Linked DNA regions of Zea mays. The protein of the gene in region 1 interacts with the protein of each later gene in a pairwise test. Links are inferred from orthologs where the notes say so. Each region holds a gene or a part of one and is shown in the gene's direction. Other genes may lie near its edges.

Region 1 (5,335 bases):
GCGGAGTTCGCCGTCTTCCGGGTCTTAGCCCGAGTCCGAGCCCTGGGGTCGGGCGGAGCGGAGTTCGCCGTCTTCCGGGTCTTAGCCCGAGTCCGAGCCCTGGGGTCGGGCGGAGCGGAGTTCGCCGTCTTCCGGGTCTTTGCCCGAGTCCGAGCCCTGGGGTCGGGCGGAGCGGAGTTCGCCGTCTTCCGGGTCTTAGCCCGAGTCCGAGCCCTGGGGTCGGGCGGAGCGGAGTTCGCCGTCTTCCGGGTCTTAGCCCGAGTCCGAGCCCTGGGGTCGGGCGGAGCGGAGTTCGCCGTGGCGCCTTTGGCAAGGCCTGACTGCCTGTCAGACTCACTCTGTCGAGTGGCACTGCAGTCGGAGTGGCGCAGGCGGCGTTGTCCTTCTGTCAGACTGGCCAGTGGAGCGGTGGAGTGACGGCGGTCACTTCGGCTCTGCCGGGGGCGCGTGTCAGGATGAAGGTGTCAGGCCACCTTTGCGTTAAATGCCCCTGCAATTTGGTCAGTCGGTGCGGCGATTTAGTCAAGGTTGCTTCTGAGCGAAGCCAAGGCCTCGGGCGAGCCGGTGATGTGTCCGCCATAAAAAGGGGGCCTCGGGCGAGACGGAAGTCTCTCGAGGTCGGCTGCCCTTGGCCGAGGCTAGGCTCGGGTGAAGCGTGATCGAGTCACTCGTGTGGACTGATCCCTGACTTAATCGTACCCATCAGGCCTTTGCAGCTTTATGCTGATGGGGGTTACCAGCTGAGAATTAGGCGCCTTGAGGGTACCCCTAATTATGGTCCCCGACATAAAGAATGACAATGTTTGGAGATCTAAAGAGCACTTTCAAGAAACTCTTTATACCCTTATTAACAGAAATAGAGGCTTGAGTGAAAAAAGCCCTCCAATGACTTCTTTAATAAAAATAACCTCCATCTTTATATCCTTATTAATAGAAATAGAACACTTTCACTGAATTTTTCATTAGCCATGAAGAGCGGAATTGGCTCTCTGCAGTATGCACAAGATATAGAAAAGTCTTTGAAGAGCGAATTGATATAGAGACCGATTTTTATTCAAATAACTTCCCAAATTATTATTTACGGAGCGTTTAGATCCCTTCATTTCAGAGAAATTAAAATTCATTTAATAAGGTAACCTATTTAGCTTGGAATTTGACATTTCATCACTTCCCAAAGTTCTATATAAGGTTATCTTAAATTAATGGAGTGGGGATGGGAAATGATTTTATGTATTACTAGAATTTGTTTCTACTATGTAACTTAAAAGACGATCTTAGACTCACTCCTTTATAGTAAAAATATAGCACATAAATATCTCCGACATCTTACTAATAATATTATACTGATATATTTTACATAAACCCTGAATTTTTTTAATATATATACCTAAATTATTATTATTAGAATGAAATTCAATTTCAATGATCCAAATGATGCATTATAGAAAAGTCTAAGAAAGACTAATAATTTATCCTCCTCGTCGCAGTGAAATGTTGTTATAGTATTGTCCACTTTCCTGTTCCACTCCATCCTAAACAGGAAAGTGACGTGTATTTATACCTACTCCCCCATACACAGAAAATAGTTTTGGTTTTGTCATATGACACAATTTTAGTAGTGTTAACAAGCCTGTAGTAAAACACACAAACATATTTAATATATAAAATAACTTATTGATTATACGATCTGATGTACACCGAATCTCCAGCGGGAAGATCTCTGGGCAGCCCCATAACCACACGGATCGCTGATACAAACACGCTGTGCCAGCTAAGTCCAACACAACAAAAAGTCACATGTACCACAACGTTTTCTCATACTCAACTAGATAAAGGTGAATGAGCGACCAAACAAATTATAAAAGGATCAAGCTTTTTTTAACTCATACGCCAAGTGTAATATTTATTATTGTGTAACACACAGATATTATACTAGTTAGACTATAAATCAGTGTTAGCAAGTTGATTTTAATCTACTAGGTAAAGATTCCCGCACATGAAGCTTAACATGTTTAGCGACCATTTATAATGCCAGGGGGACAACCCTCCCCAAATTCTCAATCTGGTTCGGGCTCCTGGATCGGACCCGAAAAACTGGTGAGATTTGACCTACAGCGGAGATGGCCACCGGCGACCTGCGCAGCCTCGCCACCGTCGCGGCCGCGGTGATCGCGTGCATGGGCTACGCCCGCTTCGCCGCGCGGCGACTCCGCCCGGTCCTGTCCCGCCTTGCAGCGTTCCTCCCGGTGCTCGCCGTCTTGCCTTTCCTCCCGCTCGCCTTCCGTGCGCTCCACCCGCGCGGCATCTCCGGCTTCTTCCTCGCCTGGGCCGCCGAATTCAAACTCCTGCTCCTCGCATGCGGCCAGCGCCCGCTCGATCCGAGCCTCCCGCTGCCCTCCTTCACCGCCATCGCCACCTTCCCCGTCACACTACGGGATCCCAAGAGCTCCGCCTCGAGGCCGGGCCTGGGGCTCGTGGAGTCCGCCTCCATGGCCGCGCTGCTCGCGGCCATCGTGTCGCTGTACCGGTACGAGGAGCGGATGAACGGTTACGTCCTGCTCACGCTCTACTCCGTGCACGTGTACCTCGCGCTCGAGCTCGTCCTGGCGGCGGCCGCGGCGGCGTCGCGCGCGCTGATGGGCCTGGAACTGGAGCCCCAGTTCGACCGGCCCTACCTCTCGTCCTCGCTGCGGGACTTCTGGGGCCGGAGGTGGAACCTCTCCGTTCCGGCGCTGCTCCGCCAGTGCGTGTTCCGCCCCGTGCGCGCGCGCCTCGGCGCCGCCGCGGGTGTGCTAGCTGCGTTCGTCGTCTCGGGCCTCATGCACGAGGCCATGTTCTCCTACCTCACGCTGCTGCGGCCGACGGGGGAGGCGGCCGCGTTCTTCACGCTGCACGGGGCGTGCGCGGTGGCGGAGGGGTGGTGGGCCGCGCACGAGGGGTGGCCGCGGCCGCCGCGCGCCATGGCCACGCCGCTGACACTGGCGTTCGTGGGCGTGACGGCCTTCTGGCTCTTCTTTCCTCCGCTCACAAGGCCCGGCGCGGACAAGCAGGCCATCGCGGAGTGCGAGGCCATGGTCGCTTTTCTGCGGGACACCGCAGCTTGGGCGGTCGACTCCGCCTGGTCAGTCTTGTCAAGCTGGTCGTAAATTGTGGTCCGCCGTCCGCAACAGGCGTGCGCTGCGCCTGCGCCTGCGCCTGCGCGTGCCGTGTGCTTTGTCGCCGTGGCATCTGTTTGCACTTTTGTTTTGGGATGGTGATAATTTCAGAAATATTCTAGATGAGGAAAATCTAGATGCATGAAAAATATATTGTAGTTGAAGTGTTCAGCAACTTTGTAGTTTTTTTAGATAATGTACAACTTTTATAGTTGCTGACCTTTTTATTTGAAAACGATTTATTATATGTCTAAATAATCAACCAAGACATGTTGACAGACCAGTCTTCCTAGTAGTTTGTTATGCAAGAACTGGAAACATCAGCACATCATCCAAAAAGTAAGTCTGTTTAATTACTTAGGAGGACTAAGGCACGGCGATCTACCCAGTTGCAACTTCATCAGGTTGTAGTATATCCCTCCAGGTCCGACGGCGATGAGCTCCCCGTGCCGCCCTCTCTCCGCCACCTTCCCGCCCCGCACCACCGCAATCATGTCTACCTTCTGCACCGTGGAGAGGCGGTGTGCCACCACCACACACGTCCGCCCCTGCAGCATCCTGTCGATAGCGTCCTGCACTAGCCTCTCCGACACGGTGTCCAGCGCGCTCGTCGCCTCGTCCAGCAGCAGGACCCGCGCGTTCTTCAATATCGCACGCGCCAGCGCGATCCGCTGCTTCTGCCCGCCGGACAGCTGCGCCCCTCGCTCCCCGACGCGCGCGTCGTAGCCGCCCTCCATCGCGCTGTAGCACGGCGGGATTGAAGAAGTTTTTCAGGTACAACAAAGGCGTGCGCACACCAACCAGCTGCAGAATCTGTACCTGATGAACTCGTGGGCGTTGGCAAGCTTGGCGGCACTAGTCACCTCGTCCTCGGTGGCGTGCTCGTCGCCGTACACTATGTTGTCGCGGATCGTGCCGGAGAACAGCGTCGGCTCCTGGCTGACGAGCGCGACGTGCGACCGGAGGTGCGCCAGGCTGCAGCTCCTGATGTCCCTGCCATCGATCAGCACCGAGCCTTTCTGCACGTCGTAGAAGCGCTCGATCAGCCCGATCACCGTGGACTTGCCGGATCCGCTCGGTCCGACGAGCGCCACAGTCTTCCCCGCGCCTATCTCGAGGCTGAACCCATCGAGCACGGTCGTCCCCGGCCGCGTCGGGTAGCTGAAGTGCACGTCCCTGAACTCGATTGTGCCTTTCATTTCCTTCTGCTGCTGCTGTTGCTTCCTCTTCTTCCTTGGTCCGTCGGCTTCGTCGCCGTCATCCTGGATCATCGGTTCACGGTCCAGCGTGTCCAGGATGGACCGCACGGCGTCACCGCCCTTGGCTAGGTCGGACGTCAAGCTGCCGGCGTCTGCGATCACCCGCCCCATGGTCATGAGCATGAAGAACACCTGGAACAGGTGCGTGGGAGTGATGAGGCCCTTGGCCATAAGCCTGCCTCCGTACCACAGCGCGAGCGCCATGCTGCCCGTGTTGCTGAACTGGCACAGGGACAGGCAGAAGCCGGAGTACCACGACTGCACCCTGTTGTCCTTCCTGGGCGCCTCATGCGCGGCCTCGTACAGGCGGAGCATCCGACGCTGCGACGAGAACGCGGTGATGGTCCGGTGGTTCACGACAGCCTCGCTGGCGAGCTGGCTGCCTTGCACCTGCGCCTTCTTGGCCTTCTTGGACAGGGCGGTCATCAGCACCTTCTTGAAGTAGAAGCTCGCGATTACCAGTGGATGCATAGCCATCATGACCACCGCGAGCCGCCACGACAGGGCGAGCGCAAGGGAGAAACCTAGCGCCGCGTTGGCGGACGCCTGCACCAGGAGGCACATGCGGTCACCGACGAGGGACCGGACCTTTGTGGCCTGCGTGGCCAGCCGCGCGCACACCGCGGCGCTTGAGTTCTCGTCCTCGTCGAACCACCCGACCTCGAAGGAGAGTATCTTGGCGAACATCTGTCCACGGACGCGCTCCGTCAGGCGCTCGCCCATGACGGCGAAGTTGTAGTGCTGCACGATGTTCGCCGTGATGCAGACGATGGCGATGCCGAAGAAGACGAGGGAGTACAGCCTGTTGAGAACACAGTTCAGACAAACGTCACTGGCACCGCCATGGCACTCTGCACTGCAATCTATGTTCTCGATCGAGCAATGACGGACACGTCGCGAGGTACCTGGTCTTTGAACGGA
Region 2 (6,586 bases), on another chromosome or scaffold:
CTCTCAAAAAGTGATACCGAATGGCTATGTGCTTAGTGCGGCTGTGTTCAACGGGATTATCCGCCATGCGGATTGCACTCTCATTATCACATAGGAGAGGGACTTTGCTAAATTTGTAGCCATAGTCCCTAAGGGTTTGCCTCATATAAAGCAATTGCGCGCAACAAAGGCCTGCGACAATGTACTCAGCTTTGGCGGTAGAAAGAGCTACTGAGTTTTGTTTCTTTGAAGCCCAAGACACCAGGGATCTCCCCAGAAACTGACAAGTCCATGATGTGCTCTTCCTATCAATTTTATACACTGCCCAATCAGCATCGGAATATCCTAATAAATCAAACGAGGATCCCTAGGGGTACCAAAGACCAAACTTAGGTGTATGAACTAAATATCTCAAGATTCTCTTCACGGCCCTAAGGTGAATTTCCATAGGATCGGCTTGGAACCTTGCACACATGCATACAGAAAGCATAATGTCCGGTCGAGATGCACATAAATAGAGTAAAGATCCTATCATCGACCGGTATACCTTTTGATCTACGGATTTACCTCCCGTGTCGAGGTCGAGATGCCCATTGGTTCCCATGGATGTCTTGATGGGCTTGGCATCCTTCATTCCAAACTTGGTGAGTATGTCTTGAATGTACTTTGTTTGGCTGATGAAGGTGCCTTCTTGGAGTTGCTTGACTTGAAATCCTAGAAAATACTTCAATTTCTCCATCATAGACATCTCGAATTTTTGTACCATGATCCTACTAAACTCTTCACATATAGATTTGTTAGTAGACCCAAATATAATATCATCAACATAAATTTGGCATACAAACAAATCTTTTGCAATAGTTTTAGTAAAGAGAGTAGGATCGGCCTTTCCAACTTTGAAGCCATTAGTGATAAGAAAATCTCTTAGGCATTCATACCATGCTCTTGGGGCTTGCTTGAGCCCATAAAGCGCCTTAGAGAGTTTGTAAACATGGTTAGGGTACTCACTATCTTCAAAGCCGGGAGGTTGCTCAACATAGACCTCTTCCTTGATTGGTCCATTGAGGAAGGCACTCTTCACGTCCATTTGATAAAGCTTAAGCCATGGTAAGTAGCATAGGCAAGTAATATACAAATTGACTCAAGCCTAGCTACGGGTGCATAGGTTTCACCAAAATCCAAACCTTCAACTTGTGAATATCCCTTGGCCACAAGTCGTGCTTTGTTCCTTGTCACCACACCATGCTCATCTTGCTTGTTGCGGAATACCCACTTGGTTCCTACAACATTTTGGTTAGGACATGGAACTAAATGCCATACCTCATTCCTTGTGAAGTTGTTGAGCTCCTCTTGCATCGCCAGCACCCAACATCGCCTGACCAGTCTGTTGGTGAACAGTACGCCCGTGCCGAGCGGCGCACCGTGCTCGTTACCCCTTCTATAAGAAGCTTCCCTTGCACGTCGAGGATACGCAGATCTCGGATGTCGGGGCCCAAGAAGAGTGCCCCAGCAGCACACATTTGTGGCTCCAAGTGCTATATTCGTTATGTCCCTGGGCCCACATGTCGGGGCTCAATACCTTTGTGCATGCCCCCCTTCGGCTACAAAAGGGGAGGCATGCGGCGTTACAAGACAGACCCAATCTTAGGCAGACACTCACAAGTTCATACAAGCTCCCGAGCAATACATCACACAGTGGAGTAGGGTATTACGCTCCAGCAGCCCGAACTACTCTAAACCCCCGCGTGCTCCCGTGTGTTGATCCACCAGTCTCGTAACAAGCAAAACGCTTAGGCCCCTCCTCTTTTTAGGATTTAGGGCGGGTGCAATCCGCCACCCGGTCAGAGAGATTTCCTCTCCGACACGTGTGATCGGTTGAGATGGAAAGGCGATGACAAGGGCGATGCGGGTGATGTTCATCATTAATGGCAATGATGCCTCTATACCCTGACTAACAAACGTTATGAATATGTATACCTCACATATACTATGTAAACACAGCATGTATTAAAAATAAAAAATATAATATATAACTAGAGAAAAATAAAAATATATGAACATATACAGAGAACATAAAAGTAAAAGAGAGATAAAAAATAAATAAAATAAAAGTGATATAAACGAAAAATAAATAAAATAAAAGTGATATAAACGAAAAATAAATAAAAGAAACATAAAAACAATAGTAAAACCCTATAGAAAACAAAAAGGAAATGCAGATGAAAGGAAAGAAAAAAATGCAACACGCTGCCTTGACGGCGGACATCAGTGCCGGCCTGCCGGCCATGCTCTGACTCCTCCAGGCCCAACGATAGCCCAACAACAATTAAGGGCCCTCTGCCACACCGCAGGCTACCCCAACATGCCAATCCTTGTTGCCTCCGGAGACCTGGCCTCAGCCCCTTCCCCGGCCATTCGAGCGCCGCCCTGCTCGCCTGCCCTTGCCCACTACGCCCTCTTGATTTCTCCCTCCATTCCGATATATTTAAGCGAAAAAAAATCCGATAAGCCAAGCCAAACCCAAACCCAACCATGGCGTGCATGCCGGCTGTGTCTGCCCCCTCCGTCCTCGCGCCGGCACCGGCGTCGACCCGCACCCACCTCTGCTACTCAACGGAAATGCGACGCGGCGCGCTCTCCCTCCGTCCCGCCCGCGCTATCCCCACGTTGAGGCTCGGCGGCCACCGCGACGCCCGTGGCGCTGTCGTCGTCCGCGCCACTGCGGCAGAGGTATTTGTGGCTACGGGCACCTACGGCGCTCCCCGAGGCCAAGCGCGTTGTGACAGACTGCCGGTGTTTCGCTGCAGGGAGCCGTGGAGCTGCAGGCCAAGGTGACGAGCAAGTGCTTCTTCGACGTGGAGGTCGGCGGGGAGCCTGCGGGCCGCATCGTCATCGGGCTCTTCGGAGAGGTCGTACCTAAGACCGTCGACAACTTCCGTGCGCTCTGCACTGGTGCGTACGCTATGGATTGGATTTGAATCAGCGCTGGTCACAATAGCTTTACGAGTCGAATTTACCGAGCATTGCTGCTCTTTTGGTTGCGGGGCAGGTGAGAAAGGGTACGGCTACAAGGGCTGCTCCTTCCACCGGATCATCAAGGACTTTATGATTCAAGGCGGGGACTTCCAGCAAAACAATGTAAGCATTTTTTACCTGTACGCAATTGGTCTGAATGGCCACTGCAGATTTTGTTAAATATTCCTACAACTGAAGAAGATGTGAGTAGAATTGAAGTTCCTATTCATCATTCAACATAGTAAATCATTGCTCACAAGTAACAATAGAATGAACACCAACATGGATGGAAAACCTGAAAGCAGGACAAAATCAGTTATGATTTTTTTGCTGCCAAGACATCCAGTCTATTAAGCTCGGCCAGATAAAGTTATATTGCACCTATTGATTTGCATACTCGCTGCAAGTCTCCTAATAGTTAAGTTTCATGCCTTGCTCAAAAATCAGTTTATTAGTTATGGGATCTACTATGGATTTTAGGATGACTATCACCAGTCAATGGCAATCATATGGGGCACATGTTTATTGGCATATGGGTTTAAGATATAGAACTAGAACCTATATTTCCAGTGCATCAAGCCCTCCACAATCCATGGAATTTGTTGAGCCTGTTTGGATCAGATTCATATTGTTTCTATGGGCAAGCTTGTGGAACATTGAGCATTATCTCATATTCTCATCCAATGTCTATTAGGATATCACTCTGTACTATAATCGCACCTTGAAGTTAGCATCCAGCTATCTGCATTGGATCACTAAATATCTATTCTCCAATGTGTAGATGACCATTTTACAAACCATTAGCACAATGCAGCTCTCTTTATGCAATTTGTCACTTCTATTTCCACCGTTAATCATAGTCAATAATGATACATCCATTGGGCTCTGTCTGCAAAACTGCTCCATTGATTGTGTCTCACTACATAAGCTTAGATTTTCTTTAGTTTTTAGTCACAAGTTTCGTATAATACGGCAACGATGATGACTGTGAAAATCATGGTTATTAAGGCGTCGCTAAAGCGGTAAGGCGAGCATAGCCACGTAAGGCGTCCTATCGCCTTGCCGCGGGAGTAATGCGAGGACAGAGGGCGCTGCGGCAGCGCGCGCAGGGCGCAGTGGTGACGGCGGCGTGCATGGGGCTGCTGCGGCAGCGCACAGGGCGCAGCGGCGAGGGTTTACAGCCCAAGCCGGCAAGTCAGAGGAAGGGGGGACCTGTGGGGAGGGAGAGAGATGAAGCTGTGGGGAGGGAGAGAGATGGAGGTGCAGGGGAGAAATAAGCAGCGGCCGGCGGCTGCACTGCACGGGAGGAGAGGGAGCTGTTTTAACCTAAAACTGTTGCTGTTGGGTTGGGCTAGCTGGGCCGACTTATTGTAGACTTTTTTTTCCTTTTTTTTCCTATTTTTCTCTCCTACTAGACTGAAACAGGCTTACTAGACCTTATAGTTGTGCTAGTTTACTTATTAATTTTGAATTATTGTTATATAAATCATATTTGATCTAATTTTTTATATTACTATATAATTAAAGCATTATATTACTATATAATTAAGACGTCACGCCTTACACTTTACCGCCTGAAGGGTAAAAAAAGGGTCGGTTGCCTTACCGCCTTAATAACTATGGTGAAAATATAGATTGGTTTAACTCATAGTACAAAATTGATTGTCGGGCGCCGAAGTTGCGCATTGAGTTCATGTTACTGAGAATTACAAAACAAATAATGATGATGAAAACAGAACATCTCTGCTCTTTATCAATACGGAACCAAATCAATATGCTGATGGTGGGTGAGGTAGGCTTCCACCTTAGACCTTGTTTGGATACTCTCGTATTCATCTCAATACATATGGATTGAGGTGAATACGAGAGTATCCAAACATTCATAGGTTTGCACCATGGAACTATGCAAACTAGCAAAATCTGCCACTGGCTACTTATTAGATATGGGTAACATTATACTTTTCAAAGAATTGACAACCAAATTGTGAAAGGTGTAAGAATTTACCTGTGAAAGTGAAATAAAGTTTGGTGAAGTTCAATAATGTTTATTCAGAGAAGCTAGTTCTGTCAGGAGCTAAAAGTCGTCTTCACTTATTCTAGTGCTAAGTTATTAGTGGTGACCACAGGGTACTGGTGGGAGAAGTATTTATGGTGAATGCTTTGATGATGAAAATTTTACACGTAAGTGATTCTTAGCCTTCTATTTTATTACCTTCTACTGTTGCAGAAAGTAGTGCTATTAATTCTGTTCTCATTAAGATGAATTTTTGTGTGAACTTTCTCTAGTTTTTTTGTTAATAATGCAGACAGGAGCTTACAGGAAACTGATTCTGAATGAAGTTCTGTTGAATTGCAAAAATGTCGATGTGTCTGGTGCCATTTCGCTAGTTCTCAAACTGAGAGGTTCTTTGGCTTACTTTGTTGCAGTGAAGCATGTTGGCCCTGGTGTGCTAAGCATGGCAAATGCTGGCCCCAACACAAATGGAAGTCAATTTTTCATTTGCACTGTGAAGGTAAGGCATTCTTGATTTGTAGCAATGATAGAATTCATTTTGCTCACTATTTTGCCTGCTGGAACATCTTAATTTTTGCTGCATTAAGAATCTAGCTTTTGAGTAATGATTCACATTCAAATATAATGCTGATCAATGAATTTAACATATGTATTTCACAAAATTATTTGAACTCTGTCTACCAAAAATCTATTAATACACTTCGATTTGTTACATGTCATAAGTGAGCACCATGACATTTTCAACTCGATAACATTGATTGAGTTTGTCGTCGTTGTTGTTTATGTATGATCAAGACAAGATTCAAGGAAGGTAGCATATGTATACATCCAAATCTGTTGAGGATAATATATCATGAATAAACTATCCCTTATCAAAACATAGCCTTGGACTTGTTATGTTTGTTTTCTTCAGCAAGAACCGGCCATCGAGGTCTTTTATATCGTGGGTACTTGGCTCACACTGAGACAATAATGGAATTCTTCTCAGACACCGTGGTTGGACAACCGTCACGTCGTGTTTGGACACGTATTAGAGGGGATGGACGTGGTGAAGCAGCTTGAATCGCAAGAGACCAGCAGGTCCGATACTCCCAAGCAGCCTTGCCGAATCGTTAACTGTGGCGAGGTCCCCCTGGACAGCTGAGCGAGGTCAGTAGCTCAGTTTTGGGTTTAATTGTTGATTCGTGCAAAGCATACGGAAGTGGAAGTAGAAGTGCCGATGGTTTGTTTGGTTTGTTTTTTTTTTTTCATTTTCAGCGAAATGCTCTTGGTGAGTTTGAACCTGAGGTACCGCGAAGTCTTCTCTTACGTTAGAGCGTCGACGCCCATTTGTGGTAGCATCATTCGGTCAGTTGAGTTATGTGTACGTGCCGTGACGGAAGTTTAATTACTCAGATGTGGACACATTACCAGTTAATAGCAACGAATTGGCAAGGGACATCTCAAAAAAAATAAATGTTGTCAGCCTTCCTTCATTTCAGACAAGTTAGCACCAGCTGTCGGTAGGACAAAAACGCTGGACCATCAGATGTTTCGCTTTCTTTCTTTTTTTTCTGTAGATTCAACACATGAATGACA

The links.
Region 2: the proteins of wax synthase (region 1) and peptidyl-prolyl cis-trans isomerase-like interact in binary tests that used the Arabidopsis thaliana proteins (3 or more experiments, as listed by UniProt). The link is inferred for Zea mays from reciprocal best matches to the Arabidopsis thaliana genes ASAT1 and ROC4.

What each region holds. Positions count from the first base shown.
Region 1 is NC_050105.1:128,302,488-128,307,822, reverse strand, and holds wax synthase, read left to right. Parts: upstream 1-2,051; 5' UTR 2,052-2,120; coding exon 2,121-3,146; 3' UTR 3,147-3,276; downstream 3,277-5,335. Other genes in the region: ABC transporter B family member 15, read right to left, coding at 3,509-3,896, 3,975-5,216, 5,320-5,335. UniProt on the Arabidopsis thaliana protein: Involved in the esterification of cycloartenol. Not implicated in the formation of sterol esters in flowers or during seed maturation. Has a substrate preference toward saturated fatty acyl donors (16:0 > 18:0 > 16:1 > 18:1).
Region 2 is NC_050103.1:1,411,747-1,418,332, reverse strand, and holds peptidyl-prolyl cis-trans isomerase-like, read left to right. Parts: upstream 1-2,533; 5' UTR 2,534-2,598; coding exon 2,599-2,709; intron 2,710-2,786; coding exon 2,787-2,931; intron 2,932-3,028; coding exon 3,029-3,117; intron 3,118-5,120; coding exon 5,121-5,175; intron 5,176-5,421; coding exon 5,422-5,507; intron 5,508-5,996; coding exon 5,997-6,152; 3' UTR 6,153-6,157; intron 6,158-6,265; 3' UTR 6,266-6,452; downstream 6,453-6,586. UniProt on the Arabidopsis thaliana protein: PPIases accelerate the folding of proteins. It catalyzes the cis-trans isomerization of proline imidic peptide bonds in oligopeptides. Required for the light-induced increase of thiol accumulation.